Lepisosteus oculatus: one gene and its partners. The protein of the gene in region 1 purifies or fractionates together with the protein of each later gene. This does not show direct contact. Links are inferred from orthologs where the notes say so. Each region holds a gene or a part of one and is shown in the gene's direction. Other genes may lie near its edges.

Region 1 (7,830 bases):
GCTTGTTCCCCACCCCCGCCACCCTCTGTGTACAGAAGAGCCTCCTGTCCTGACTGGAGGAGCTCACCCAGCTGTATCTGGAGAGGAGCCAGGGTATCGGCTTCAACCACACGGACTGGGCGGCTTGTTCCCCACCCCCACCCCCCTCTGTGTACAGGAGAGCCTCCTGTCCTGTCCTCAACCGATTGACTGACTGACTCGATAGACTAATCGAGTCACTGATCGACTCGATAGACCGGTCGAGTCACTGATCGACTCGATAGACCGGTCGGGTGACTGATCGACTCGATAGACCGGTCGGGTGACTGATCGACGTGATAGACCGATCGAGTCACTGATCGACTTGATAGACCGGTCGAGTCACTGATCGACTCGATAGACCGGTCGGGTGACTGATCGACTCGATAGACCGGTCGGGTGACTGATCGACTCGATAGACCGGTCGGGTGACTGATCGACTCGATAGACCGGTCGGGTGACTGATCGACGTGATAGACCGATCGAGTCACTGATCGACTCGATAGACCGGTCGAGTCACTGATCGACTCGATAGACCGGTCGGGTGACTGATCGACTCGATAGACCGGTCGGGTGACTGATCGACGTGATAGACCGATCGAGTCACTGATCGACTTGATAGACCGGTCGGGTGACTGATCGACTCGATAGACCGGTCGGGTGACTGATCGACTCGATAGACCGGTCGGGTGACTGATCGACTCGATAGACTGGTCGGGTGACTGATCGACGTGATAGACCGGTCGGGTGACTGATCGACTCGATAGACCGGTCGGGTGACTGATCGACGTGATAGACCGATCGAGTCACTGATCGACTTGATAGACCGGTCGGGTGACTGATCGACTCGATAGACCGGTCGGGTGACTGATCGACTCGATAGACTGGTCGGGTGACTGATCGACTCGATAGACTGGTCGGGTGACTGATCGACTTGATAGACTGATCGGGTGACTGATCGACTGGATAGACTGATCGGGTGACTGATCGACTCGATAGACTGGTCGAGTCACTGATCGACGTGATAGACTGATCGAGTCACTGATCGACTTGATAGACCGGTCGGGTGACTGATCGACGTGATAGACTGGTCGGGTGACTGATCGACTCGATAGACTGATCGAGTCACTGATCGACTCGATAGACCGGTCGGGTGACTGATCGACTCGATAGACCGGTCGGGTGACTGATCGACTCGATAGACCGGTCGGGTGACTGATCGACTCGATAGACTGGTCGGGTGACTGATCGACTCGATAGACTGGTCGGGTGACTGATCGACTTGCCGGCAGTGGGTGCAGGTGTAGAAGACGGTCTGTCCCTCGTCGGCGGACCTCATCTGTCGGGTGTGGTAGACCATCCCCTCCCGGCCACAGCGAGAGCACCTGCGGTCAATCTGGGGGCAGAGACACGGGTCAGGGGTCATAGGTCAGGGGTCACCCCCCCCCCACCGTCAGTGTGCGGACCTGGATTCAGCAGGGCCAGGGGGGTCAAGGCAGCCTATCAGGGCCCAGCGTGTCAGTCCATCTTGGTCCATTCAGAACCCAGAAGAACTGCAGACAGGGACCAGTGACCCCAGGACAGAGGTCAGGGACCAGTGACCCCAGGACACAAGTCAGGGACCAGTGACCCCAGGACACAAGTCAGGGACCAGTGACCCCATCACAGAGGTCAGGGGCCAGTGACCCCATCACAGAGGTCAGGGGCCAGTGACCCCAGGACAGAGATCAGGGACCAGCGACCCCATCACAGAGATCAGGGACCAGTGACCCCATCACAGAGGTCAGGGGCCAGTGACCCCATCACAGAGATCAGGGATCAGTGACCCCAGGACACAGGTCAAGGATCAGTGACCCCATCACAGAGATCAGGGATCAGTGACCCCAGGACACAGGTCAAGGATCAGTGACCCCATCACAGAGATCAGGGATCAGTGACCCCAGGACACAGGTCAAGGATCAGTGACCCCAGGACAGAGATCAGGGACCAGTGACCCCATCACAGAGGTCAGGGATCAGCCACACCAGGACACAGGTCAGGGGCCAGTGACCAGTGACCCCAGGTCAGAGATCAGGGATCAGTGACCCCAGGACACAGGTCAAGGATCAGCCACACCAGGACACAGGTCAGGGGCCAGTGACCATTGACCCCAGGTCAGAGGTCAGGGACCAGCGACCCCAGGACACTCACCACAGGGCCCTTCAGCTCTCCCTCCTCCTCGGACATCATGGCGGTGCTGCTGGACTCCAGGCTGTTGAAGACGACCGACGAGGTGACCACCTGGTCAGCGAGCTCTGCAGCACAGAGGGGGAGAGAGGGCACTCCTGAGGGACTGAGCCCTGCACACTCCTGGGGCAAATCCCCTCTCACACAGGTGGAGCAGGGGTCAGTGTGCCTGGTCCAGTCAGTCCAGGGGTCTGTGTCCCTGGTCCAGTCAGTCCAGGGGACAGTGTCCCTGGTCCAGTCAGTCCAGGGGTCTGTGACTCTGGTCCAGTCAGTCCAGGGGTCTGTGTCCCTGGTCCAGTCGGTCCAGGGGTCTGTGTCCTCTGGTCCAGTCTGTCCAGGGGTCTGTGTCCCTGGTCCAGTCAGTCCAGGGGACAGTGTCCCTGGTCCAGTCAGTCCAGGGGTCTGTGACTCTGGTCCAGTCAGTCCAGGGGTCAGTGTCCCCGGTCCAGTCAGTCCAGGGGTCAGTCGGTCCAGGGGTCTGTGTCCCTGGTCCAGTCGGTCCAGGGGTCTGTAACTCTGGTCCAGTCAGTCCAGGGGTCTGTGTCCCCGGTCCAGTCAGTCCAGGGGCCTGTGACCTCTGGTCCAGTCAGTCCAGGGGTCTGTGACTCTGGTCCAGTCAGTCCGGGGGTCTGTGACCTCTGGTCCAGTCAGTCCGGGGGTCTGTGACCTCTGGTCCAGTCAGTCCAGGGGTCTGTGACCTCTGGTCCAGTCAGTCCAGGGGTCTGTGTCTCTGGTCCAGTCAGTCCAGGGGTCTGTGTCCCCGGTCCAGTCAGTCCGGGGGTCTGTGTCCCCGGTCCAGTCAGTCCGGGGGTCTGTGACTCTGGTCCAGTCAGTCCGGGGGTCTGTGACCTCTGGTCCAGTCAGTCCAGGGGTCTGTGTCTCTGGTCCAGTCAGTCCAGGGGTCAGTGTCCCCAGTCCAGTCAGTCCAGGGGGTCTGTGACCTCTGGTCCAGTCAGTCCAGGGGTCTGTGACTCTGGTCCAGTCAGTCCAGGGGTCTGGTAAGGTTAGTTGGTGCCAAACAGCGCCACCCACAGGGAAACGCAATCCATCAATCAATCAATCGATCAATCAATCAATCAATCAATCAATTGCTCTGAGCCACTGACCGCTCACGCCGATGTCGTAGCCGCAGCGCCGGCAGCTCACCACGTCCTCCACGCCGGGGACGGGCAGCACGGTGCCGCACTCCGGGCAGAACAGCGGGTCGCCGTGGAAACAGGAGCCGGGCAGGGCGTCTGCTGACATTGCTGCGGAGGGGAACCGATCAATTCGGGGCGACCGGCGCGCACCGCCACGACCCCGTTCTCGAAACCCAGACTAAATTCCACTATCAGAGAACAACCTGGCCTCTTTAAAATTTACAACCAGACTGTGGTCACTGAGCCTGTCCTCTCTGGACAGCTGGGTTTGCCTGTGTCCAGTGTGTGTGTCCAGGCTGTGGTCACTCTGAGCCTGTCCTCTCTGGACAGCCAGGTCTGCCTGTGTCCAGTGTGTGTGTCCAGGCTGTGGTCACTCTGAGCCTGTCCTCTCTGGACAGCCAGGTCTGTCTGTGTCCAGTGTCTGTGTCCAGGCTGTGGTCACTCTGAGCCTGTCCTCTCTGAACAGCCGGGTCTGCCTGTGTCCAGTGTCTGTATCCAGGCTGTGGGCACTGAGCCTGTCCTCTCTGGACAGCCAGGTCTGCCTGTATCCAGTGTCTGTGTCCAGGCTGTGGTCACTCTGAGCCTGTCCTCTCTGAACAGCCAGGTCTGCCTGTGTCCAGTGTGTGTATCCAGGCTGTGGTCACTGAGCCTGTCCTCTCTGGACAGCCAGGTCTGCCTGTGACCAGTGTCTGTGTCCAGGCTGTGGTCACTGATCCTGTAGGTCGTCAGACCCGGTCTCTTACTCGCTATTTGTAGGCGCCGTTCCAACTTGGTCTTTAAGAACAACCATCCGCCGAGTTAAGAGTCCTTGTAACCGTCCCAGATAACGCCTATTCCGCATTATATCAGGGGGTCCCTACCGTGATCGGAGGTCAGTCGCGGGTAGCTGTCGCCCTCACCTCGCTGTTGCGCCGAGACACGTGTCGTCCGCAGAACACAAACACAGTCGAGAGCTCTTCCTGGCTGCGGACTGCTGGGGCGCATGACGTCAGCCCGGCAACGGAAGTGACGTTCAATGCGCGCCGGCATTTAAAAAACACTTTTTGTCTTTGTTTTGTTATTCTATAGTGTCCGTATCTAAGTGCTTTTTATAGTAATACGAACTATATAAGAACATTTATGCATGAATCTATTAATAGTCTGGGTAGAAATCAGAAACAAAATTATCTGAGGCTTCTCCCTCCGTCAATGTTTTTGTATGGTGAAAGCGAAACATTATTTCCATTAAAAACCCGGAAAAACACACCTCACGTCTGTAAAGATGTTCACTGATTGTGTGCTAGGTTATAATCACCTCTGGCCGCGTGCCGTTCTGTGTCTGTGCGTTTTTATTTGTGAACACCCTTTCTGTTTTGTTTGGAAAAAAAAAAACAAATAAAAGGTTGTGAGGGGAAAAAGACGGGAGTCCTGCGCGTAGTGCATCATGGGAAAACGGGAGGGAGGGGGACGGTGGGTCGCGGCGCCGGCGCACCCGAGTGACGTCACCAAACGCCCCGAAGTCGTTGCTGCGAGAGACGGAGAAACCATTCGAAGGTAAACGCGTTTTATTTCACGGTTAAAAACCACCACCCGCCCCCTCCTCTCAACGCGCCGTTTGCGGGTTTTTTTCTCCTCATAAACCGCTTTCTTCCGCCTCTTCTCCGTGCTGGTCGGCGTGACTCCTCTCTCGAAGGGAATTTTTGTTTTTCGCGTGAGGGCGGTTTGCTGGGTGGCGCGACTGGGCCCGTCTTTTTGAAAGAACAAAAAAAAAAACCCGCACTGGGCCATTGTAGTTTTACACACACACACACAAAAAAAACCTCGAACAGACGGGAAAAAATCGGATTTCCTAACGCCCCTACACCCACTCGGGGTGCCCGCGGTCCGGTCCGGTCCGGTCCGGAGACACGGCTTGAGCCCGTCCCGTGAGCTTTCGCGTGTCCGTGGGAGTGGGAGTTGGGGGGGTGATCCCCCGTGTAGCCCCGATCTCGCTCACGTCCGGCGCGGTTTTACATCCGCTAGTTTAAAAAAAAAAAACACGGATCTGGAAATTGTCAGTCGTGCTGCTCGATCGGTCGAAAGGGACCGACGGGCTGGTTGTTGTCGGAGCCCGTTTGTCCCGGGACAAGATGTCCCCTCCACAGCACGGTGAGGTTGGCGGTACTATTGTACAGATCTTCGTGCGTGTGTGACCGCAAAAACACCGCCTTCAGTGGGACTGCTGGATTCAGAGACTGCAGGTCCTGAACGAGTGCGGATCCACGTCTGCATTTAAAAGATCATATGTTCTCGTCTAAATGAGTAACAGGGTGGCGAGACACTCTGTTAAGGTTCCTTGTTCCGCCACGCACAGCTGTGAACACTCCTGTGTGAAAAATGGCAGTCTGTTCCTGTGGGGATCACTAACCAGACGTGTTTAGGGAACTGCTGTGTCCAGTCAGTGTGTCTGTGTGAACCCCTCTCTCTCTCAGTGCAGTGTTCATGTACTGGAGTGTCCAGTCAGTGTGTCTGTATGAACCCCTCTCTCTCTCAGTGCAGTGTTCATGTACTGGAGTGTCCAGTCAGTGTGTCTGTATGAACCCCTCTCTCTCTCAGTGCAGTGTTCATGTACTGGAGTGTCCAGTCAGTGTGTGTGTATGAACCCCTCTCTCTCTCAGTGCAGTGTTCATGTCCTGGAGTGTCCAGTCAGTGTGTCTGTATGAACCCCTCTCTCTCTCAGTGCAGTGTTAGTGTACTGGAGTGTCCAGTCAGGGTGTATTAGCCCCTCTCTCTCCCTCTAGGTAATACCATGGCTGAGAACGATGTTGATAACGAGCTCCTGGACTATGAGGATGACGAGGTGGAGGCAGGTGGAGGTGGGGGAGACGGGGCTGACCTGCTCCCCGTCAAGAAGGAGGTGAAGGGCTCCTACGTGTCCATCCACAGCTCGGGCTTTCGGGACTTCCTGCTGAAACCGGAGCTCCTGAGGGCCATCGTGGACTGCGGGTTCGAGCACCCGTCTGAAGGTAAGACAGGGACACAGAGACACAGCCACTCTCACAGAGACACCCTCACACAGACACACCCTATCTCACATACACTCTCACAGAGACACGGCCACTCTCACAGAGACACGGCCACTGTCACTGTCAGGGCTCAGTGTGGTGTCCAGACAGCAGTGTCCAGATATCAGGGCTCAGTGTGGTGTCCAGACAGCAGTGTCCAGATATCAGGGCTCAGTGTGGTGTCCAGACAGCAGTGTCCAGATATCAGGGCTCAGTGTGGTGTCCAGATATCAGGGCTCAGTGTGGTGTCCAGACAGCAGTGTCCAGATATCAGGGCTCAGCACGGTGTCCAGATATCAGGGCTCAGCACACTGTCCAGACAGCGGGTCCCAGCGCCGTGTCCAGACAGCGGGTCCCAGGGCCGTGTCCAGACAGCAGTGTCCAGCGCAGTGTCTATGCTGTGCTCTGTTCCATTAGCGAGTCTGTATTTCTGTCTTCCTGACTCCCCCCTCTCCCTGTCCCCCCCCTAGTTCAGCACGAGTGCATCCCGCAGGCCATCCTGGGAATGGACGTGCTGTGCCAGGCCAAGTCCGGGATGGGGAAGACGGCCGTGTTCGTGCTGGCCACCCTGCAGCAGCTGGAGCCCGTCACCGGGCAGGTACCGGATCCGCCTCTCCAGTCCAGTCCAGTCCAGTCCAGTCCAGTCCAGTCCAGTCCCGAGATCCCTGGGTCCCCCTCTCGGGTCCATTCCACCTGCCTCTCTGCCCAGACAACAGCCCTCTCCTGCGTATCAGCCACCGCCGCCTCCGCTTCCTGGTTTTCCACTGTCACCTGACCAGTGGCCCGCCTCCCAATTGGTCAGGTGGCGGAGGGTGGCTGCCCCCACCATCCCCCCCAGTGCTTTCTGGGAGATGTAGTTTCTGGCAAAGTCTTAACCTTGATTCCTTCTCACGATGTTTGCCTCTGTCCGTTTATCTCTCTCAATCTCTGGAGCGTGTCACTCTGTTAAAAGTCTCTGTGTCTGTTGTCTGTCTGTGGACAGGAGCTGTTAAAGTCTCTGTGTGTGTGGTCTGTCTGTGGACAGGAGCTGTTAAAGTCTCTGTGTGTGTGGTCTGTCTGTGGACAGGAGCTGTTAAAGTCTCTGTGTGTGTTGTCTGTCTGTGGACAGGAGCTGTTAAAGTCTCTGTGTGTGTGGTCTGTCTGTGGACAGGAGCTGTTAAAGTCTCTTGTGTGTTGTCTGTCTGTGGACAGGAACTGTTAATCTCTCTGTGTGTGTTGTCTGTCTGTGGACAGCAGCTGTTAAAGTCTCTGTGTGTGTTGTCTGTCTGTGGACAGGAGCTGTTAAAGTCTCTGTGTGTGTTGTCTGTCTGTGTCTCTGGAATTTGTGATGGGTCTGATACTGCAATAAGTATATTCCCCTCTGTCTCTCTCTGTAGCTTTTGACTGGACATGGGCGATACCCTCTCCACTCCTCTGTCTGTCTC
Region 2 (6,851 bases), on another chromosome or scaffold:
GTGACATTTTCTCCCATCAGTGTTAAATGATGGAACTTTCTGTTCACAGCAATTTTTAGTTGAAGGAGCAGAGATTTAGGCTTTACTTAACAATGCAGGATCTTAAATTAAACATGATTGTTGACCCATTAGTAATTCCCTTAAAATGAAATGGCAGACAATCCCTTAAATGGAGAGCGCAGGCAAAGGAAAGCTTCATTCTGCTGAGGTGAATAATTTATAGCTATTTGCAGGATTGGTTCCTGTAGAGCTTCGAATATATGATGATGTCTGAACTTTTGTCTAAGAATATGGGCCTCTCCTGTTTTCCTTCTGTGAATACTGTTGTTTTCTGGGGTGGTCTTTTGTCTGCTGTGTATATTTGAGGAGGGCATAGGGCTTCACTCAATTCAAGTCTCAAAAGAATTTCATTATTCCTAAAGTTCGATTTTACCCAAAACTTGTAATAGTTGCTAACTAGGCCCATTTGTCAATAACTGCTAATGGACAACAGAAACTTATTTTAAAAAAGGTTATCATATGTGCTTAACAGCCTGGATATCCGGTAAGAAGTGAATAAATGTACACAAGTCTTGTTCAGAGTTATCCTTTAAAGGGGCCCTCAGTAGACTCAAATACTGAGACTCTGTTCCAGGTTTTTTTGTCAGCCTTGATGTGTACAAAAGTAGATGAAGGTGTTGTCTGGATGGTGTAAAATGCTTTAGTCTATGTAAGAGCAGTAGGATTCCAAGGTAGAGGAATGTGTGGCATGAGAAACGCTTCAGCTCTCTCAGGCTCTTGAGAGTGGCTAATGCTGAGGGATGAAATGCTATCCCTACTCGTGTCAGTACTGGGATGATTTTAGTTTGATTATGAGATAACAGCACAGTTTTGATTTTGTAAGTTACTGGCATTTCTGTAGAATAGGCTGGACTGGCCAGGAGGCTTTAAGCACAAGCTTTTATTTTAAGAAAAGCTGGCCTTATGTCTCTAGGTCACCCTTTATTTTCTTTTATCTAAACAAATCGTGAGTACAGAGTGAACTCAGGGACATTGTGAACTCCTCTGGGGGTTCTTAGTGAGGAATTCCAGTCACAGTGAGGGTGAGGATAGGTTTATTTTTCATTTTAAAACTCTAGACAAAATATAACAAGACTTCTGTCGGATGTCTCCTGTTAGTGATACAAGTCTACTGTAGCCCTAAATCTCTCACCTCAGAAGGCATCCAGTCTATCTCCATAACCGACATAGCCTGTCTACAGACTCTGGAAATATTTGTACTATTCATGATTTTTACTGAACTGAAATTCTTTAGCTCCCACAGGCTGTTAGCAATGCAAATGTAAAAGACTTCTCTGTTTGAAAGGTGAAATACCTGTCTTCACATGCTTGAAACTTCCTTGTCTGGTGATCTTAGTGCTTTCTGCTACTGTAGAAAACACAGCAGTTCCTGGTTTCAGAATGCTTTGTTTTTGTTTTTATGGAAGCAATACTTTCAATGAGTTGGGCTTCACAAGATTCAGCGTGAAAGCTTGGGTTGTCCCATTGCAATAAGGCGCTGTCTGCATATGGTCTGTGACTTACTGAAAGAAGACAGCTCTGGTTTTATGTATGGAATATAATGGATCTTCAGAATTAAAACAGAAAGTATAATAGATGAGTGACCAGATATTGCAGGTACAGTGCGCAAGATTCTATTGGGATACAGTACCAACTATTCTTGGTAAACTCAAGGACTGCTTTCCTTGTTCATGAAGAAATTCCAATACTGCTGTTGATACTGTTTTGTTAATCTGTTTAAAGCCTGTTTTAAACTCTGTTTAAAACGCCCAAAACAAAGTAAAACACCAAAAACAAAGCTGATTTTGCAGTATGTTAAATGTCATTCACTTATCATAAAATGTGGGGGTGATTTGGACTGGCATTGAAAAGGGCTCTGAATTCTCGTCTCAGTTTTGGAAAACGGTATGTAGCACTTATTTTACCACTTCACAAGCCTAAATGTTTGCTTTGTGCAATTACCACGTCTACTGATATTATATGGAGAGGTACAGTACAATGTGGAAAAATCTGTGACATATTTACACACCGAAAGGCCTACAAAACTTGGCTCCCACTATCCAATATTTTCCATTTCTTGGTCAGAAAAATCGGATGCTACCAATGACAGCACCCGCAGTGCATCAGATATGTTGCCAGGCATCTGTGGAGGTATTGGCCATGTGTGCAGCCTTGCTGTAGGCCTGAATCTGACACCACAGCGCAGGCTCTGCCTTCATTCCCTGTGCTTCCAGGGCGTCATGGGTAATGATACACTAAGTCCAGTGTTTGTCAGTCCTTTAAAAAAAACATTTCCAACCCTGCTGGTAGTACTGACTCATTCCCAGGGACTTCAGAGCTAAAAAATGGATTTAAAAAGAAAACTTGAATGTTCGGTGCAAGAGATTATTCACACACAGACCGAAATGAAAGCGATTGTGGTGATATAGGGATGGTTGTAATTTTGATACAAAGATGAATGGCATCTATGCTGGCTTACTGTAAACTGATAGAAGAAACCAAGATGATCAAATCAGCTACTGTACATTCAATGATCTGGGTTAATTTTCCATCAAAGCAAGAGTTATTGTTGCTCTTTATAAATCCAAAGTTCATACCTCGAAATTATGTTAATTCATAAGTTGGTCCAGATTTCTGCCTTTTCAGAACCATCCTGACCCATATTACCTTTAACTACTTAAAGATCTGTAAGTGGATTGGCGCACTATTAACATTTCAGTGTGGCTAGGAAACCAGAGGTTTAGTACAAAGCATTCCACTACACACTGAAATGTACAAAACTGCATGAAAAAGGAGCTTTGAAAAAGTTTCTTCGGTTATGGCAACAATTATTCAATTCTAGCCATGAGAAGCCTTTAATAATTGAAACAATTACTCCATTAATCCTAAAAGTGTTCCCAGGGAGAAGTTGCCATGAATGGTTTCTTTTCCCCTGTGTGTTTATTAGTCAGGTTATTCCGGTTACACATCAGAGTGCAGATCAGCCTACTTTCTGATGAAAATACTGTTTTGCATCTGATAATGATAAAATTTAAAAAAGTTAAGAGTTAAGATAAAAAAGTTAAGAGTTCTTTTCTTCTCTTGCAGGTACATTAGTTTCCTTCATTTGCTTTCCTCACAAACTGATAATTAATACAGTATATGCAAGAAGACCAACATTCCTCCTGAAACAAATGGGGCAGCAAGACAGGTGGTTAAAATGTGTATCGCACACTATGCCTGTTCCCGAAGGCTTGGGCTCTGTACCTGGAGCATACCCATCAACTGAAAGCTGCCCCAATATTAGAATGATGAACGTCTAAGTGCATGTGTTCAAAGGTGAAAGTTATGTCCTTGCAATCTTTTTTAAAACGTGTAAAGTAGACCAACTTCAAGACATCAACTTTGGATTGCCGATGGCAAAGTCGCTTTGCCATGTTAGATAGAAATGCCTTGTTTTGCCTTGACATTTTAATCAAGGGTATTTACCCTTGCCTCCTTTTGCCATGCCAGTCTAAAGTGGAGTTCTTACAACTGGAAACAGGAATCAGAGCTTCATTCAGTGGGGTGAGTGTGTTCATACCCATAGAGAAAGCACAAGGCCCCCTTTTTTTTCATCCACTTTGACGACAGTGGCATGTAGCAGAGAGGTGTCTTGCCCAAATTCTTTTGCCCTCACTGTGCTATCCTGTACAGCTTGGGCCTGCCTTATCAGCTCCTCGGCTTCAACAGCTCTTAGATCCTTTTAAGGAGCCCCCAGCTCCGCCTGCCTGGCATGGCTGTCCCAGACAGCTCTCCAATGAGACAGGTTGTGTTTCTTCAAATCCTCGCCAGCGGCGGTTATGTCCTGGTCCATTCGTGTATATAGACGCACTCCCTGAGCTGGAGAGCATTGCTTATTTATTGTGATCTATCCTGGGAAGCAGTGCTGTGTTCCAATGTGCTCTCCAAGGAAAGCAACGTCTGCAGCCAGCAGGTAAATTCCATCATGCTTAATTAATCCTTGTGGCAGAGGTAATCTAAATACTTCTCCTACAGACTGGGCAGCAAAATATGTATACTTATCTGGTGTAGACTTCATTTTTTTGCTTGTATATAGGCTGTTATTTCCATAATGGTTCCTTGCCAATAAAATTTAAAATATTTGTGCAGTGTCTGAGATCTCTCTAGTGGACTTTTCAGCTTTGTGATATTAACTGTACTCTTTCCAAACAGTGCCTCGTAATCAGATTGGAGAAATGTTTTCTATTGGTAGCACTACTACAAAAATGGGAGCAAATGATTTTTGCCCTTCTCCCATCAGGGCAGGACTGAGAAGGATTCATGGGATCGGGGAAGGTCGAGCTGTAATGTCACTCTACAGTAATGGTTTACAAAGAATGGCACCCTATGCAGTGAAATCATGTCCCAATTTGCATGGATCTCCGATAAGACCTTCATACATTTCTGGCAGTTCTTGTACTGTAGCCTCTGTAGCATTTCCAGATGATTTTTTAGAGCTCCAGAAATCGATGTTGCTTCAACGATGGAAAGAAAATGCAGAACTAAACTGTTTTAAGATGGTGTAAGTTACATTGCCATAAATAAGTATGCCTGACATATACTTTCACAAGCCCATGGCTTCGGATCCATTTCTAACCAATTAGATCGCACAGCGTTTATGTTCCGAGAGAGCCTGGCTTTGAAAAGTGTAATTTCTTCCCTCCCCCTGTACTCTGTCTGTCTCTTCAGGCATATTATATTTATCATAGTTATTTTTCCCCAGGCTTTGAGACCATTAATTTTGTCTGGAATTCAGCAGCTTCAATTTTTTCCTGTCTGCTTTTAATCTGGCAGTAAAATGTATATTAGCCAATGGTGTCGACTCATAAGAGGTTGCAGATGCAGCCACTGTTTTGTACTCTGCCTTACACGTTTTGAGAAACATTAGGCTAAGCCTGCAACTGACAGGTGGATTTTCGTTCTGTTGTCTTCTGATTCTTGGGCAAACAGCAAAAACAATATGGTAACCTAGGGCAGCGTGCCTGCAGCCAAACAGTGCTTTCACCTGAAAGGCACTTGAGATCTTACGCGCTATAGGAGCGCCCTGCTGATGCTTGCAATTTTTTAAACCAAAGAAACAAGGCTTACATTTTAATGACAGAGATTCAATGCAAAATATAGTAGATGACTACAAAGCTCACGCAATAAGATCATGGTCGGACCCCATCTATTCCATTTTCTTCAGCTGGGCACAGGGAGTACATTACGTATGTTCTGTAATGAGAAAAATGGGAATAACGAACCCACTGTCTATTCTGCAGTAGCTTTTAATTTATTTATAGAGAAACATTGTTTCTGGCTTTTTACTACTGTCCTTTGTTATTGTGCAGATATTTTAACGACTTTTCTCTCTCAGAGCGGGAGATGGCTCAGGTAGCCAGAAGTTGGTTGTTTGATTACAATACACTTCCAATAGTTTCTCTTGCTTTTGCAGATCTGGCCTATTGTTGCCACCTAGTGGACCATCCCAAGGTTGTGCCTGGTTGTAGAAGGGAGCTAAAAATACAAACTCGTGGATTAGACTGTGTAATGACAAAGATCCTGTAAAATCTGTGTGAGGACTAGAATGACCTGGCTAGTCTGGTCTTAAAAACAAACGACAGAATGTTGGACAAGCCCTGTCTGAAGAGATCAAAGCCGTTTTTATGTTAGTTGATTTAATAAGCGCGTGCTAAACTTGCCGGGGATGGAGTTGCACTAAGAGAAAGGTGTTCACAAAGATAATGAAATGACATATTATGGAAATCTAAAGTTAAATTTAAAGCTAAGCTCTGTCCAGCAAGCAAAATACTGTGAAAGCATAGAAACGCAGCTTAGAGAAAAGTCTGAGAGTTAAGCAGCAGCTGAGAGCAGAGTAAAAAAAACGACTGGCTGCGGACAGGCACAAACTATAAGCCCCTCCTTTGGCTCCCCCTAGTGGGCAGGGCAAGACTGCATTCTAGTCCGGGCAGAATCGGGGTTCATAACCTCATACGGCGCAGCAGACAATAACAAATCGGAAAACAGGCCAATGCATTCACACAGAATTGCAAAACTGTCGGACGAAGTAATATTGCTAAATAAACAAGGATACGGTATAAAGAGAGGCCATGATGTACAGACCCTGAGCGCAGAAGGCTAATGTTGTTAAACCGACTGATTCTCCCGTCTTGCCTTTGACAGATTGCGCTGTAAATGTATCAGAAGTCGAGAGCCCATCATGAAGAAAGCAAGCAGGTCTGCGGCCACTGCGCCCAAGGCTGCGGGAGGCAGTAAGGGCCCGGGCGGGGACAGAGGGCGACCCGACAGCGGCTCGGGGGGCTCCGGGGCTGTGAAGACTGCCGCCAAGGCTGCCTCTGCACCCCAACTCTCCAAGGTAATGGAGGACGAGGGGCTCCCCTCCCTCTGCTTGCGTGCGGAGGTTCGATCTCCACTTTTCTTTCCTGGTTCTTCACACTTTGTCACAGGGCCCGAATCGGGGCTGTCTTCCTCTCAGGGTGGTGCTGTGGAAGTCTGACTCTGGCCCGGGGTCGTTGCTCCTGACCTGGCCTGAGTGCATTTTAAACAGACGCCTGCTGTTGTACGTGACGCCTCAGGAGTAACTGAAAGGCAGGGATAGCTTAATCAGGAACCGCCACTGTGCCATAGGTAGAAATATTTTCTATGATCCCAATCCGATTGGTAATGGTCACTCATAAACAGCCGTTCATGGTAATAACTCGGGTGACCACAGCTGTGTGTGGGCTATAAATCTCATTGTAACACTGCTAGAATTTAGGAATGCTGTAGGATATACACCTTGTGTGTGTCTC
Region 3 (7,877 bases), on another chromosome or scaffold:
GTGGTCACTTCTGTGTATTAGTCAAAACTGGGTTTTCATCCAAGTGAATGTACTTGTGTCACAGTTCCATTTGCCACTTGGTGAGACTTGGAAGAAATCTCAGTTCACCCCTTCAATTTCCTGTGGATATCAGAATGATACACAGGTGGCTTACAGTGAGACTAACTGCAGGTGTTAAAGTAGTAACCTCCAGAATGTATTTTATAGACTTTTTTTTTAAGACGACAGAAAAACAGCATATTACTAGTTGCCCACAGAAACATTTTTAGATATTAGCATAGTATTAAAAATTGAGAAGTGTTTCCAAAACCCAACATTATTTGTGTTTGCTTTGAAAGAGATTAGCATACTATATGTATGCATGTGCAGCTCTGAATATTCAGATTAAATTAAAATGCCCTGTGAGAACTGCTGATAATTAGGGGAGTATAATATATTCAGGGGTCAGTATACTAGTGACATCTTTTTTATCAGTGCCCTTGTATACTTACAGAAAGTGGTTTAGATCATTTCTCTTATATTCCAAAAAAGATTCTCAATCATAGACCTTTTTCTCAAAGATTACTTGCATATAACGAACACTCTGTGGTTAAAAACTTAATTTAACATCAGTGCAAGTAAAATGAATGGATTCTATTTAAGAAATAGGGAAAAAAAAATCAGTCTTTGGAATGATCGGCTTTACACTGTGAAATGTGCTGTGCTGCAGTACAACATTATAACCTGTGAGAAAAATGTTAATGGATTGTTTGCATTTATGCCCGATTCTGAATCCAGGGTTAGATTTTCCTTTCTCAGATTCGCATCGAACAATTATTTTAAAGCGCCTGTTTGGAGTAGACTTCAGGTCTAAGGTCAAACCGCTCGGAGGTGCCCAAGCCACTGGCTGTTTTTGTCAGATTTGTTTTGTTGTTGAGGGGTACAGGGAAGTTGCATTTTTGTAACACTTCAGGAAAAAAAAAATTGGAACTAAATATAATATGCGCACCGACGAATTAATTGTATTTTTTGTTTTAAATCTGCTTGGCCATTAGCAGAAAGACTAATGATTGGGCATCCTTCCAGCGAGAGCCTTGATCTTTCCAGGGGAATGTGTGTGGACATGCAAACTAGCTTTACGAAAAACCCCTCCATGCTGCAGGAAGCCTGCTAAATGTAGTTGCCACATACTTCCATCTTAATAATTTCACCTTCCTGCAAGGGAGATAATAATTAAGCTAATTTTTTGTTCAGCATTATATGCAGATGAAACAGCATAAAAAGTCCAAAATTAGGAAAATGAAATGCCTTAATATGGGTTACAACCCTCCATAGAACACAGAAAACCATTCAAGTCACACATCTTTAGTATTATATAAACCAGAAGCAATACAAACAAGTTTAACTCATTTCATAAAGGTAAACATACAGTGTAGTTGTATTCTACTGGTATGTAATGAGGTAGCCCATGGAATAATTTATTCCAAAACACAATGCCATTTTTGAACATAATAAGAGGACATTCAACCCATTTAGCTTATTGTGTAGTAAGTAGCTAATTCCTTAAACCATAGTATACATCAGGTATTTAGCTAAAATCATTTAAAATGGATTCATCAAGTATCAGCAGTTTTAACTGTCCATTTCTGTGCTCAATAGGTATGGTGATCAAGGAGAGCACATTTCCCTCAGCAGTGGATTAAGGATTGCTCTTTTTTACAGACTTCTTGCAGTCTTCATTTCCTAGCATTTACATTTTAACTGTCCTTTCATCTTTATTTTTATTTATTTTTTGAGATGGCACCCTGATAACTAAAGTTTGTGGGAGGAATAAGAATTGATAAAACTCAGTTTTGCTGAAATTGAATAAATTAATCATTTCTTCGAAGGGTATAGGAGGAAAATCCATCTCGTAGGCATATCATGTCATAACTGCCTTAAACAAAGATGATAAATGAATATGTCTAGAAGACAGAAACCAAATCTGGCTTTTGGGATAGATAACTAAGCCCACATTAAAGGAAAATAAAAAATAAAAAATGAGCCTACCTCTGAGACATTACCTTTCATAGTTCGTAACTCTGATAAGATGAATGCCTTGTTAATATAAGCACAGCAGCATTTTTAATGCTTACAGATATGAGATACACAATGCATAACAATGGCATATAGCTAGATTTTGTCAGAAACATGCATCTTCAACCAAGGCTTAGTTCCAAAGAACAGTTACTACATATGAGGGGGGACTTTAGCCCTCTTGAAAGGTATCCCCCCCCTATTTTGAGAAGTGTACCAAATATTCCCACAATCATATTGACCCCCTCTCACTCTTGTGGTGTCAAAGGGGTTGTGGACACCCTCTTGGGCATGGGCAGGCTCCCAAACCCAGCCCTTTTTAAAAGCTCTTTTGGGTTCCTTTTCTTCTTTACACACACTCTCCTTCAAGAGTGGTGATCACACTGGCCTCCCTCATCAGAGTAACAGGATACAAGACTCCACCTTCTGTTACTTCTAGTCCCTTTGCTTCAGAATATCAAGGTGACCAAGTTCATCCTGTTGGACTCACCGCCCCACACCCACACCCATACACCTTGACATCCTCATGCTGAACTCACAGCTGCCAGCACACCTCACTCTGTGCCCAGCCACCACTGCACTATCTCCCTAGAGGGTATAGCTAGATAGACCCCACTTGTTTGCCCCAACACCAATGCATCACCAGGGGGAGAGTCCCTCTACCACACAAGCCACTCTGGTGCACGCACACACACGCTAATCAAATCACAACTCACTCATCCAGCGGACAACAACAGCCCTGCTCTCACACCCTAGAAAGATGCTGTCCTTTTGAATCTTTCAGGGATCTCATAAAGCTCCGTTTCTTCTAATCAGTCTCCTCCCAGACTGACAGTCTTACTCTTTTCCCTCACAACTCCATCTGGAAATGGAGTTCTTCTCCAGCCCATCACGGGGTTTACTACAGCGGCTAATAAAGCCTCAGTTCACTCCTTCAAAGCGGCGCACTCTTCAGACATCGCCCAGTCTACAGCAGAGCATCCACACTCGGGGAAAGCTAATCTCCCTCTTCCTCTTCCTCGTCCTCTTCCTCGTCCTCGTCCTCGTCCTCGTCCTCGTCCTCGTCCTCGTCCTCGTCCTCGTCCTCGTCCTCGTCCTCGTCCTCGTCCTCGTCCTCGTCCTCGTCCCACCACCACCACCACCACCACCACCACCACCATAACTACAGCAAGACCAAACCCCTGTTACATCTTTTTCTCTTTTCAAGACGTTTTAAACCACTCCCACACCTGCCGTTCATTCCACTTATTCAGGCCAGGTGTGGTTTGCACGGCAACGCGTCTCCCTTAATCTGGGGCTCCGTCCCCCAGACCACAATCTACTTTAAAACATGGGCAGTTGAGGGAAGGCGTTATTCATTTTTTTTTACCAAAGTTTTCAAGTTTTTTAAAAATAATTTTAAAGGTAAGCAAACAATTGCAATACTTTATTCATCCCAAAGGACCAATTTAAGATGGTAGATAATAGTAAAAACCATGCTAAAGTTTTCATTTACAAAAAAAGCGATTGATTCATACGTGATATTATATATTATATAGGGGATATATGCGCAACATTGTAGTTTCCTTGTTCAGAACATATTCCTGAACCAAATTAACAGGAACAGTTTCAGAAAAAAAAAAGCTGTCTATGCTTGGATCACATCAGATCGGGTACGTGATTTTAATTTATAAGGACTTGTTTACAAAGACTATTCCAGTAAACAGGTAAAACTTGTACACCCACGTTTCCATGCTGGTTCACTGGCAGGGTAGTGTAATGAAAATGCGGTAAAATGATAAATTGATTTAATAAGCAAATATGGACTTTGAAGGCTCAAGAATGTCCCAAGCACCAGAGAGACCTCTACAGGTGTCATTGAGTATCTGCACGGTATGAATTGCTAATTCCCTAGGTCCTCCCACACACAATTACATGCGGAAAGACTACTGCTCATGCAGTTTTGAAGATGCAGTCTAACAACCTTTTTTTAAGTGTCAATATACAGTGGCATATTAATCCGTGTAAACGGTTGTATGCTATTATCAGCTATAGGTTTCACTTTTGCATATTTACGCATGGATGTATTCTACAACAGTATTTGGGGTTTGACAGATAATTCAACTTTGTATAATCTGAGTTGCATCAGGGTACTAAAGCTATTGTTTTCTATTAAATGCAGTTAGGCTGAATAGTTCTATATTCGAAATCTCAGCAACTTTGAGAATAACAATTTGATCACGGTCATTCTAAAAGCAGAAAAATCCCAAAACTATTAAACATCTAGATTAAAATTCACTCGAACTTTATGCAAACATGGGCCAATATTCTACGAGACCTCGGGGAAAAAAACATTTTATTGGAATTTCATTTTTTCAAAAACCTGCCTTCTGCCCTTTCCTTCTGCGTGCACAAATTAGACATTAAAAAGGTCTGTATCCTACAAAACATGAGAATGTAAAGTGTAAACATAATGCTAAATAAAGTACCTTTTCTCCAAGTACCAAGTTTTCTTTTTACCTTAATAAATTTATATTGCTCGGCAACAATTTATACCTTGAATGATACACAAATTCCCTATATAGAAGGAACACTACATCACTAAACGTCCTAAATTTTGAAATGTTTGCCACAACCATGTCTATCAAATAATGCACACAGACGGTCAACGTGTGGCGTTTTTTACACCATATTGCTGCGGTTAACAGTCTTAAGGTTAGATTTTACGGTGAGACTGATTAATACGATAACTTTATTTTCTGGAAGACCGTGGTCCAATACTGGATGGCCCCGCCCCCGATATTATAGCTTGCTTCCGGGACGGCCATTTTGTATTTTGGTGAGGAAGTGGGTTCCTTTGCGACTGTTTATACAGGTTTGTGGGCCATTTATCTTGAAATTCTGTTTTGCAGACGTGAAAATGTGTGTGCAATTCAGAAAGATACCAAATATCCAGTGAAGCTGTACTGTTCAATGAATTGTGATAGCTTCAAGCCGGTAATTGCGAGTTAGCCTCTATTAACTGGTGAGATACGGGTTTTTGTGTCTCTGCATACCACACTGCGATACTCTGGTGCTGCATTTCAGTTGCTTTGTAACTCAATGATATGATAGCAATGTTAGCAATATGTTTTCAGATATGTTTGAAGGTGCCACGCTCCGCACCTTCATTTAGATTTATTTTCTTGTCTGTGCAAACCTAAACTCTACACGCAAGAGGTTTTACAAGGGCATGAGTACGTGCAGATAATGTAGAAAACATGGGTCCAACTGAAAGAATGCTTCATTTTTACAGAGCCAAAAACGATTCTGGCAATTGTGCTTTAAGCTTTCATCGTTTATTCACATGCAAAATCCTCATCAGCTACTCAGCAGTAGCACAGCAAAAGTGTTGATCTTGAAAATGTCTACATAGTACAGTAGTGTTTAGTGTGCACTGAGTACTGCGGTCACGCACAGTGGGAGTTTTCAATTGATCTTTTGAAAATGTTGTATTCTAAGATGTATTTTATACGTGCACTCACACTTTTAGTGATATATATACATAGTTTCTGATTTTTCCGTTCCATGTTATTTTTTTTGTCAACATTTCATTCTTACACTTATCAGGAGTATTGTCAGCGCACGATGGGTGACATTAAAAACTTCCTTTACGCCTGGTGTGGAAAGAGGAAAGTCACTCCCAACTATGAAATTCGAGCAGCTGGAAACAAAAACCGACAGAAATTTATGTGTGAGGTATGCATCTTGTTGTATGTCCTGTGTACTTTTTTTTTTCAGGTTGACTTCTGTATGATCTGTTTCAATGCAAGGCAGAACAAGTAGGTTAGCCTTAATATGTGGATGGTTCTACATTTATCCTGCTGCTTTATAGGTGATTACAGCTTCTTCGGAGTCATCTTCTTAAACCTACTTCAAATATCTGACAAATAATTCATCAGCAAGACCAAAAATAGGGATTAGGAAAATGTAAATACTTCTTTCTCTTTAACAATGGCTGCTTTGTTTTAGACTTCCAGCAGTTTTAAAACGGATCAGTGGTTCGGGAAGCTTGCGTGTTGTCAGATTGCCGCTAAAATGTGCAGTTTAATTCACTTGTGTCCTCTCAGGTCCGTGTCGAGGGTTTCAACTACACTGGAATGGGAAACTCCACCAATAAGAAGGATGCTCAAGCCAACGCTGCCAGAGATTTCGTCAATTACCTTGTCCGTATGGGGGAAGTGAATGCTAGTGACGTCCCTGCATTGGGGGTTAGTAGGCGAATGTATTTGTAAATGGGTGTTAAGGTTACTGGTTAGTTGCTTTTATCCCAATGTTTTCTTTTGGTTTAAAGGCCAGTTTACCAGCCAGTGATTGTCCTGATGGTGGAGGAGGGGGAGGAGCAGGTGCAGGCAGCGGCGGCGGCTTTGGAAATCTGCCTCCAAACGGACCTATTCCTCCACATCTGATTGTAAAGGCTGAGCAAGGTGAGATGCCAGGAGATCCCTGGAGCAAGTAATAATGGGGACTGATTACACGTGGTTGTCATATGAACATATCAGACTGCCACTTGGCTGGCAGATGGATAATTAGAGCTTAATAGTGTTTTCTATAGGTAAAAAAAGAAAGTGTGTGTGTAGTGCTAATGGTATCATCTATTAACAGTATAGTGACAGTATATACTAAACTGATGGACAGTGATATGGTAAAATGATTGTTGATTTGACCAGGAAAACTTCGTTGTACACAACTCAGGTTCTGAAGCAGGACCTAGCTCGGGACCTGTTCCAGGGGTGACTGGTTTGGGCTATTCTGGTTTTAACAATGCCCAGTGGGATCGTGGCGCCAATCTTAAGGATTACTACTCAAAGAAGGAGGAACAAGAAGCACAAGCAGTAAGCCTTATTAATCCATTATTCTGCAGTTTTCCAAGCTGGTTAACAGAATGGTTTTCAAACTTCATTTAATAAAGGAAAACATTGATGCATTCTATTTTTTCGGTCTAATGTAAGTAACTTTATGATACTTGACATGAGATTAGTTTCTAGAGAATCTTTATAAAGCTATGGGTCAAATTTCCTTTCAGACTTTCCATAGAGAAGGTGCTTCCATAACCCTTTCCTTTTAAATGTTACACAGATGTCCATTATTACCAGTAACTCCTGCTTTTTTTTTTTGTCTTGTAGACTCTCGAGTCTGAAGAAGTTGATTTGAATGCTGGGCTTCATGGTAACTGGACTCTAGAGAATGCCAAAGCCCGTCTGAACCAGTTCTTTCAGAAGGAAAAGAACCAGTCAGACTACAAATACAGCCAAGTTGGGCCTGACCACAACAGGTCTGGGGGATCCACTGGAGGTTCTTTTGTCAGAAAATGTTTTTTGGTCATTTGTCCATTCCTTTGATATTCAGCTTTTCACCTTTTACTAGTGTTATGTGAACCATGCTTTGAGTGAATAGTGAAAAATGTTATGGCAGCATCTCTGTTATGCAAATGTGATGATGATATGAAGTTATTTAAATGAGGAGCGTTAGAAGCTTTTAGTTTTGGCAGGTCAAGAGTTCTTAAGACTATATAACACTATGATCTTATTAATGCATTTAAACTCAGTTATAACTTTTTGGCTAAGTTACTGTGAAGCAGTTTTAGTGTTTTTCTAAGACATCGGCTTCTGTATCTGCATAAAAGTGTTGAAATGTGTATGCTGCTCTGCTGAAGCTGCAGTGTTTCTGTGAATTGATAATGTCCTAGGTGGGCAAGCCTTAAATCAAACTGTCTCCACTCTTTTGTGCATGTGAAAGGGTTAGCTGGGTTTGAATTGCAAAAACATAAGTGTCCTGATTTATAAAGTAAGGCAGTGGCTCTA
Region 4 (7,239 bases), on another chromosome or scaffold:
TAGCAAACATTATTTGTTAGTTTTGTTACACAAAATGGGTGTTCTCCAAAGCGTTTTGAATAAGAATTTCACACAAGATTGTTTAAGTACTGGTTAACATATGAGGTTTCCAAAAACACTCATTTTAAAATTATATTGCATTTAGATTATGCTAAATTAATTCATGAAAAACATTAGATCTGTTTAAACCTCTACATCTGCTCTACGTAAACAAAATATTACAAATCTCTGAATTATGTTTCCTACAAAAAACAGGATACATTGCGATTTTACTACCTGCATTCTGATTAAAATGTATCATACACCAATGCAATGAAGTATACTGTACCTGTTCAATTATTCTTATAAAATGAACACCAACATATTTCATTTAAAATGACATCAAACAAAATGTCACAATGTGTATAATTACAAGTGATAACGATACTGAAAACGTATCCTTATACTATATAAATTCTATATAAATTCAAAAAATGTTTTTCGTTATCGTGATAGCGGTCACACCCTTGCCGGTGTTAAATCACCCATTGGTTGAAAAGCGCAGGTGAGTAACAAGTGAGGTACAGTACTACAGTACGTTGATACCGATTTATTAACGTCTAGTTAAAATCGATTGAGCGTTGAATACTGCACCTAAAACGCTCCCGTGCTTTGTGACATTTCCATCATAGATACGGTATGTCCCCCACCTCTTACAAATGTGCATACTGTATGTGAAAGCTTTATGTAAAAAAAAGCTCAAATCATTTGCTTGTTAATGAAATTTTATATGCACCAAAAATGTTAACTAACAGCAAAAGATGTATGTGGTTTAAAGCCTGTTCTATTCCCACGAGCAGGCTGACTGTTTCATAACATTATTTAATAAAACAGACTAGATTTATGTTAGAGCAAACTTCCCAGAAAGGCTGAAGCTATGTAACCCCCTGCTTTGGAAAAAGCTTGGTGTGGCGATACCCATTTGTCATTACAAAATACTTTGTTTTATAACAAATATTCATCACGTTTAACTAAACGTAAACATGACGTTTAAAGATAAAACCTATGTTGTATCTGCCTTTGCCGCTCTGAGATCTATGGGTTCTTTCCATTGAAAAATTAGAAAAGCAATTCGCGAAATGCATCGTTTATCTGTTGCCCAAACCTCACATCCACCGTCTTGTTGGACTCGTGGTCAAACACGTCAAAAGCGCCGCTGATCTTTTTCTGAACAGCAGCAAGTATTGCGTCTAAAAGGCAAAAATAAAATGTGCCAACAAGCTTTAATTTGAAGTAGTCTCAGTTCTACCTGCAGTACAAAACCTTCAAAGTCCAATAATACATACCAAAATGACTACAGTTATGTGAAGAGGAGTCATTTTAAATAATAAACTACTTTTGTTTAAACAATGCAGACTACAGTAGTCAAAAAGCAAAACGACTGAAGGAATCGTAAGATTTACGTCTGTAATCATATGGTTTAATCATATGGCTGGTTGTTCATCTCATTTCATCGCGAAATAGAACCTAATCGAACTTTCTATTAAATTAACAACACTGTACATGTGACTAATTATTGCTACTGCTTTCTACTGATAGACCCTCAACAGTTTGAAAGTTGAGTGTGGGGTAGACAATAAAACATAATCGTTTTTACGTTCCTTCTAATGTGCCTGTCAAAACAATCGTCTGATCAGTAAAAATAGGTACAGTACTCAGAACGGTTTGCTCAGTAAAACTAAGTACACTACTAAACAAGATTTTACTTAGTGAAGTTTGCAGGTAACGTTTATGTGAATCTGCATGACCTACGTTATCATGTCTTTCGCAGACACTTATTTGTACATTTATAAAATTAATCAAAAATGTATTTTTCGGAGAAGGTCAAACATGCTACATGCTTGAAAGTATTTTATAACAAAAAACTAAAGATCGGTAGTGGTGCTACAATACCTGCGGTATCCTTGTCTTCCGCCATGTTTCACTGCTCTTCCAGTTGCTAGGAGACCTAATGCTATCCCAACTCCCCTCAAGACTTCAGTTGTAGCAACTTTACTTTTGGATCCTTAAAACATGCTCTATGCAATTAGTAAACTGTACGGTACATTGGCATCTGCAATAACAATAAAAAAAGTTTTCCAGGATATGTATCTAAATACGTTCTACTGAAAGTTAAAATAATGTATCAATACGAATGTAAATATGGTGCACGACTGATTTCTTCAAAAATTGAGAAATTTAAACAATGATACCAACGAAGGTATTTATAATTTCCAACACGACGTTTTAGTAAAGGAAATTAATTCTAAACAGTATATTTCTTCGAAAGAAAATATGTCTGCTGTTCAAATTTATGAGGACAAATTAATTGAACTATGTAAATAAAATAATCACCTTATTTAAATATGTTAGCAATTGATATTTTAAGATACATTCATAAATTCAGTTAAATAGTTTTTGATGTACATTTGGGCTAATGTTGTTAGAATATGGAATATTTCCCCATTGAATGACAACTGTAGGACAAAATTCACAAATACTTTTTAATTCATATTTTAAGCTGCCTTGTGTGGCAATGTATTGATTTTCTGATACTTATTTATACTTGAAATGTCACATAAACACTTGTCTGTTGTGACAATTTACCAGTTTCCAGTTACCAGTATTGGTTTGTCTCTTTGAATGCATCAAACAGAAACTACACAAACATTAAAGTTTCTGATAAATTTGCATTCTAGTTTAATGAAATGTGCAACACTGACCCACACATTGTGTAAATCATATACTTTTCTGTTCTACTCAAGACGTTTTTCACTTCAGTAACTAAACTTATTTTAGTTGACTTTGAAGGGATTTGGATATGTTAGCAAATACTGTATAATGTCTGTACACCTTCATATGAAAATGTTCATGGTAGTATTCCATTATTCAATGTTTGAAGTGAAACAGTTGTATGGTGTGTTGAGGTGGTGCTGGGGCCATTGGTTCAGTTCCTTGGGTGCTATCTGTGTGGAGTTTGTATGTTCTCCCTGTGTTCAAATGAGTTTCCTTTAAGTTCTCCAGTTTCATCCCACAGTCCAAAGACATACTGGGAGGTTAATTGGCTTCAGGGAGAATGGACTCTGTTGTTGTAAGTGTGTGTTTGTTTGTATCTATGATTCATCCTATAATTGACTTCTGTCCAGTCCAGGGTGTACCCTACCTTTCCCTGTTGCTTGTCAGGATGGGCTCCAGCCCCCCCACACAACCCTGAAGTGGATGAAGTGTTTGGTTGTCTGTGTTTCTCTAAAAGCCCATTGGCAATACTAAGAACAAACCTCTCAAGTATGAAATCCCCTTGAGCTCAGTCCCTGTACAGAGATAATTCAGTGCAGCCAAAGAAACCCAACCTGAATGGTGGAAGGTGGGAGGAAACAAGAACACTCTGCAAAACTCCAAGTGCACACGGAGGAACCATGCAAACTCCACACAGACAGATGCTCCCAAATGGAATTCAACTCAGAACCTTGGAGTAACGAAGCAGTACTGCTAACCACCATGTTATGTATGTGAGTGAAAATAATAGAAAATATCATCTTCTTGTAAGCAAGTTGTTATCTGTCAACATAATTTGACAACGTTTCTTTGCCTCATCTGATGAAGTATATATGGACCACTAAAATGCAGACAAGCGGAGGATTGGGGAGCACTGCTTGTTCCCCCAAAACTATTACGCTGCATTATGCAGAATAACACGCGCAAATGGTCTTCTCGTGTTTTTTTTTTATTTGTTATTGTACATTGCATAGCTACAACATTGCACTATTTCTTTCTTTTCTGTACATTGCGAAATACATGTGGCCCTTGGTGAAATTCGCTTAGAATATGTTGTGCTTCACAGAAACATCAAGGAACAATCGCACTTTCCTAATATCTCTGCTCTGCAAAAAAAAAAAATGTAGAATTTAAAATACTTTCGGCTTTTTATCTTGGATCACTTTGCACACGATCGTGCATTCTTACTGGACCATGCACTGATATTAGAAAAGCCTCAGAATTAAAACGCTAATAAACTCCGGTTTGCTGTTTTACTAAGCACAACAGATTTGTTTCTTAACTTTTAATACATTTCTAACAAAAGCTAAAAATATGCAGGCATAACACTGTACCAAATGAAACTGTCGTCGCAGTTGTCGGCTAATTACGGTAGTCACCGCCCAATTTCTCCCTCCTTTCGCATGAATACGGTAAGAGTGTATTACGTACAACTGGCGCTAGATAGCCGCGCAGCTGCCAGTGGGAGAGACGCACAGAGAGGGACGAGCGTTGTTTGGCGCAGTAGAAATTCTAGGCGGCTTTGCTTTCTCTGTATCACTTTGTCTACAGGGCTTTCTTTTAAAAAAAAAAATATTTGTATATCCCCGAGCTTCGAGCGGAAATCCAACGGGAAAAATGAGTGCAATCAACGTAAAGAAGCTAAAGGTAAACGAATTGAAGGACGAGCTGAAAAAGCGCCGGCTCTCTGACAAGGGGCTGAAGGCCGAGCTGATGGACCGGCTGCAGGCCGCACTCGACGAGGAGGCCAAAGCCGGTGGCGCTTTCACCGGGCCCGGAGGCGAGGAGAACGGGGCCGAGGGGGGATCGGATGGGGCGGGCGGCTTCGATGAGATGGGCGACGAGCTGGAGGACGATCTGGCCGGCGAGAGCATGGAGGCCGAGGAGGAGGAAGACGGGGGCGAAGCGGACGCAGCAGAAGTCGAAGCTGAAGCCGAAGCCGAAACCACTGCCGCCGCCGCCGCCGCCGCCACAGCTGCTGCTGCTCCTGCTGCTCCGGGCGGTGGCGCAGATGTCGGCGGGCAGGATGATGAGATGGGGGAGGAAGAGGAGGAAGACGCGGGAGTCGAAATGGATAAATCCGAGGATGATGAAGATGCCGGGATAGAAATGGACAAATTCGAAGAGGAAGATGGGGCACCAGGATCGCAGCCCGCTGAAGGTTAGTCCCCATCTTAACTAAGACCCGAAACATCACGTGTTTACGCCAGCCCTGCCGGTCGGAGCAGAAGGCGCAATTGATGGCTGTTACTTAACAATACGGGCCAAACAATTGTTAGACGTGCTTCGATAGGGGCCTTGTCTTCGGACACGAAGGCGCAGTTTGGGCGTTCGTTTTTTTTCTCTTCTTTTTCTGCAAACGCGTTTTGGAGGTCAGACGCGAATGACGCGGGGTGCTATTTGTGGTTTTGTCGGCGCTTTCCAGACAAAGATCCACATGGTGCTGCCAGGCGAGATGAAATGGTGGCCCTGGTCGGAGGCGGCGGCGGCGGCGGCGACTCGCCTCGCCTCCATTGTTCTGTGGGCGACGGGCCGGGCCTGCGGATGTGTATCTGTCTCGGCTTTAGCTGTGTCCCCCCGCGACGTCTCGGATGTTCCTCCAGCTCTCTTCCCCGCGGTTGCCTGTCGTGTGCGCTTCAGTCTGACATTGCTCAAGCCGTGTCGGGCCTAGTCCTTCCGTTCCGTGCCTTCCTGTAGTGGCAGGACTTTACTGTACTTTCGTTTTTGTTTTGTCGGCTGTAAGTTTTCGGAGGCTTTTTTTTTGTTTGTTTTGGACGATTTGTTTGAGAGATTTAGACTGGTTTGAGGCGTCATATTCCCGCCGGACTGATTTTTTTTATTTTTAAATCTGTGCCTTTGAACGGTTAGTGGGCAGTAGCGGTTTTGAAAAATGATAGGGAAGGTTAAAATCCGATTTTATCAACGTGTACAGCGCTTATTGCCCACGTATTTCAGACGCAGTCTGAACTGGGAATCGGGTCTATTTATTGGGAAAACCAGGCTGGAGCTTTTAACGGCGAGAAAGGTCTCAATTTGCAAATATTTCCTGGGAGAAAGTAAACTTGAAATGCGTTGTTTGTAGTAAATGCCGTGTACATTGACCGGCATGGAGAGCAACGATGGTGTGGGGGGGAGGAGGAATGTTCATAAAGCTTGGAAAAAAATGTCTTTACAATTTTGGTCTTCTCTGTCACAAAAAAAGACCAAACGCGCTGTAGTCTTAACAAAAACATGCAGCAGTTTGTGGCCGCCATGTAACAATTCGGCTCAAACGCTGAGGTATCCCTCTTCATGTTGTGTTTTATTTTTCAAAGGAGACGCTGATAAAGACAAGAAAGGTGAACAGAAGAATAAGAAGGGTGTAAAGAGACGCCGTGAAGAACATGGAAGGGGCTACTTTGAATTTATCGAAGAAAGCAAATACAGCCGGTAAGGACCATGGTGGCCTTCGCTAAATCTGAAGTGCCACCGCGTAAGTGAATGGCTCACGGATTCACGGATGCCCCTGGGTCTCCTCTGTAAAAGGGGTAACAAAGAAAAGCCGAGGAGACCAGAGCAGCTGGGCAGGGTGGGGGTGGGGGCGGGGGCTCAGCTCGCATAATGTAGGGTTTCTGCTAGAAGGACGTCTGCCCTTTGGGTCTTCGGTTAGTGTATTTGGGGGGTAATAGTCTTATCTAAACAGTTTCACTTACATTGAGTCATCTGCAGATTAAGTAGTGGGGAGCGAAGGGTTTATTTTTTGCTTTAAGAATATCGATCTGTTCTTGAGGATGCAGGCGACTAAAATGGCGCGTTTATCCATGCTTTTCATCTAGGCATTTCTGACGGACCTTGAGTTTTGACATGCAACCCCTTTCGAGAACGCAGTTCATTATAGTTTCAGCGTCACCGTCAAATTCCTGCGCATCGTTAGAAATTGAATTTGTCGCTTTAAAGAGGAATGGGGATGAGACGTTTCGATCGTTTACAAATCTGAGAAGTTTTTTTTAAACTCGAGATGTCGATTTTGTCGTCTTTGGTTCAGATTAGGTTGCTTAACCAGAACGTTTTTGCTTTTCTTTGATGGACGTATGTTTGTGAAAGTGCGGAACTAACAATCAGCTTTTCTTAAACATGTATTTAATTATGTGGCTGTCTTCGTTTTAATCCTTCGTGTTCTTTGCGATGTGGAAGCCTACGTCTTAAAACATCATCTTCATTTAACTGTCTTAATGTAGGGGTCAGTAATTCAAAGGTAGGGTAATTCATTTTGTATTTCTATCCCATTTGATAAATGTGTCTGTTTCTTTAAAATTGGGGTTAATTTTAATTTCAGATCACAAGAGATTTTAACTGTGGCATGAAAAGCAGGCCATGTTGAGTATTTTTATACTCATTTATATTCTCATTTATGCAATGCCTGATTTGAGAAGCATGCACATCAGAATTTTGTAGTGTTTTAGAATG

What was found.
Region 2: the proteins of ddx39b (region 1) and specc1la purify together in Homo sapiens (affinity purification with mass spectrometry, with the first as the bait; 3 studies listed by BioGRID). This does not show direct contact. The link is inferred for Lepisosteus oculatus from reciprocal best matches to the Homo sapiens genes DDX39B and SPECC1L.
Region 3: the proteins of ddx39b (region 1) and dhx9 purify together in Homo sapiens (affinity purification with mass spectrometry, with the first as the bait; 3 studies listed by BioGRID). This does not show direct contact. The link is inferred for Lepisosteus oculatus from reciprocal best matches to the Homo sapiens genes DDX39B and DHX9.
Region 4: the proteins of ddx39b (region 1) and hnrnpua purify together in Homo sapiens (affinity purification with mass spectrometry, with the first as the bait; 3 studies listed by BioGRID). This does not show direct contact. The link is inferred for Lepisosteus oculatus from reciprocal best matches to the Homo sapiens genes DDX39B and HNRNPU.

Annotation. Positions count from the first base shown.
Region 1 is NC_090709.1:41,005,893-41,013,722, forward strand, and holds the start of ddx39b (DEAD (Asp-Glu-Ala-Asp) box polypeptide 39B), read left to right. Parts: upstream 1-4,812; 5' UTR 4,813-4,916; intron 4,917-6,142; 5' UTR 6,143-6,150; coding exon 6,151-6,367; intron 6,368-6,876; coding exon 6,877-7,004; intron 7,005-7,830. Other genes in the region: polr1h (DNA-directed RNA polymerase I subunit RPA12), read right to left, coding at 1,305-1,414, 2,209-2,312, 3,351-3,491, 4,244-4,412. UniProt on the Homo sapiens protein: Involved in nuclear export of spliced and unspliced mRNA. Component of the TREX complex which is thought to couple mRNA transcription, processing and nuclear export, and specifically associates with spliced mRNA and not with unspliced pre-mRNA.
Region 2 is NC_090717.1:9,929,513-9,936,363, reverse strand, and holds the start of specc1la (cytospin-A), read left to right. Parts: upstream 1-3,838; 5' UTR 3,839-3,956; coding exon 3,957-3,994; intron 3,995-6,222; coding exon 6,223-6,415; intron 6,416-6,851. UniProt on the Homo sapiens protein: Involved in cytokinesis and spindle organization. May play a role in actin cytoskeleton organization and microtubule stabilization and hence required for proper cell adhesion and migration.
Region 3 is NC_090704.1:7,602,325-7,610,201, forward strand, and holds the start of dhx9 (ATP-dependent RNA helicase A), read left to right. Parts: upstream 1-4,861; 5' UTR 4,862-4,909; intron 4,910-4,960; exon of another isoform or gene 4,961-5,059; intron 5,060-5,643; 5' UTR 5,644-5,661; coding exon 5,662-5,772; intron 5,773-6,143; coding exon 6,144-6,284; intron 6,285-6,367; coding exon 6,368-6,500; intron 6,501-6,768; coding exon 6,769-6,908; intron 6,909-7,199; coding exon 7,200-7,348; intron 7,349-7,411; exon of another isoform or gene 7,412-7,877. UniProt on the Homo sapiens protein: Multifunctional ATP-dependent nucleic acid helicase that unwinds DNA and RNA in a 3' to 5' direction and that plays important roles in many processes, such as DNA replication, transcriptional activation, post-transcriptional RNA regulation, mRNA translation and RNA-mediated gene silencing.
Region 4 is NC_090697.1:23,072,067-23,079,305, reverse strand, and holds the start of hnrnpua (heterogeneous nuclear ribonucleoprotein U), read left to right. Parts: upstream 1-4,237; 5' UTR 4,238-4,410; coding exon 4,411-4,954; intron 4,955-6,107; coding exon 6,108-6,222; intron 6,223-7,239. Other genes in the region: efcab2 (dynein regulatory complex protein 8), read right to left, coding at 1,145-1,229, 1,933-1,957. UniProt on the Homo sapiens protein: DNA- and RNA-binding protein involved in several cellular processes such as nuclear chromatin organization, telomere-length regulation, transcription, mRNA alternative splicing and stability, Xist-mediated transcriptional silencing and mitotic cell progression.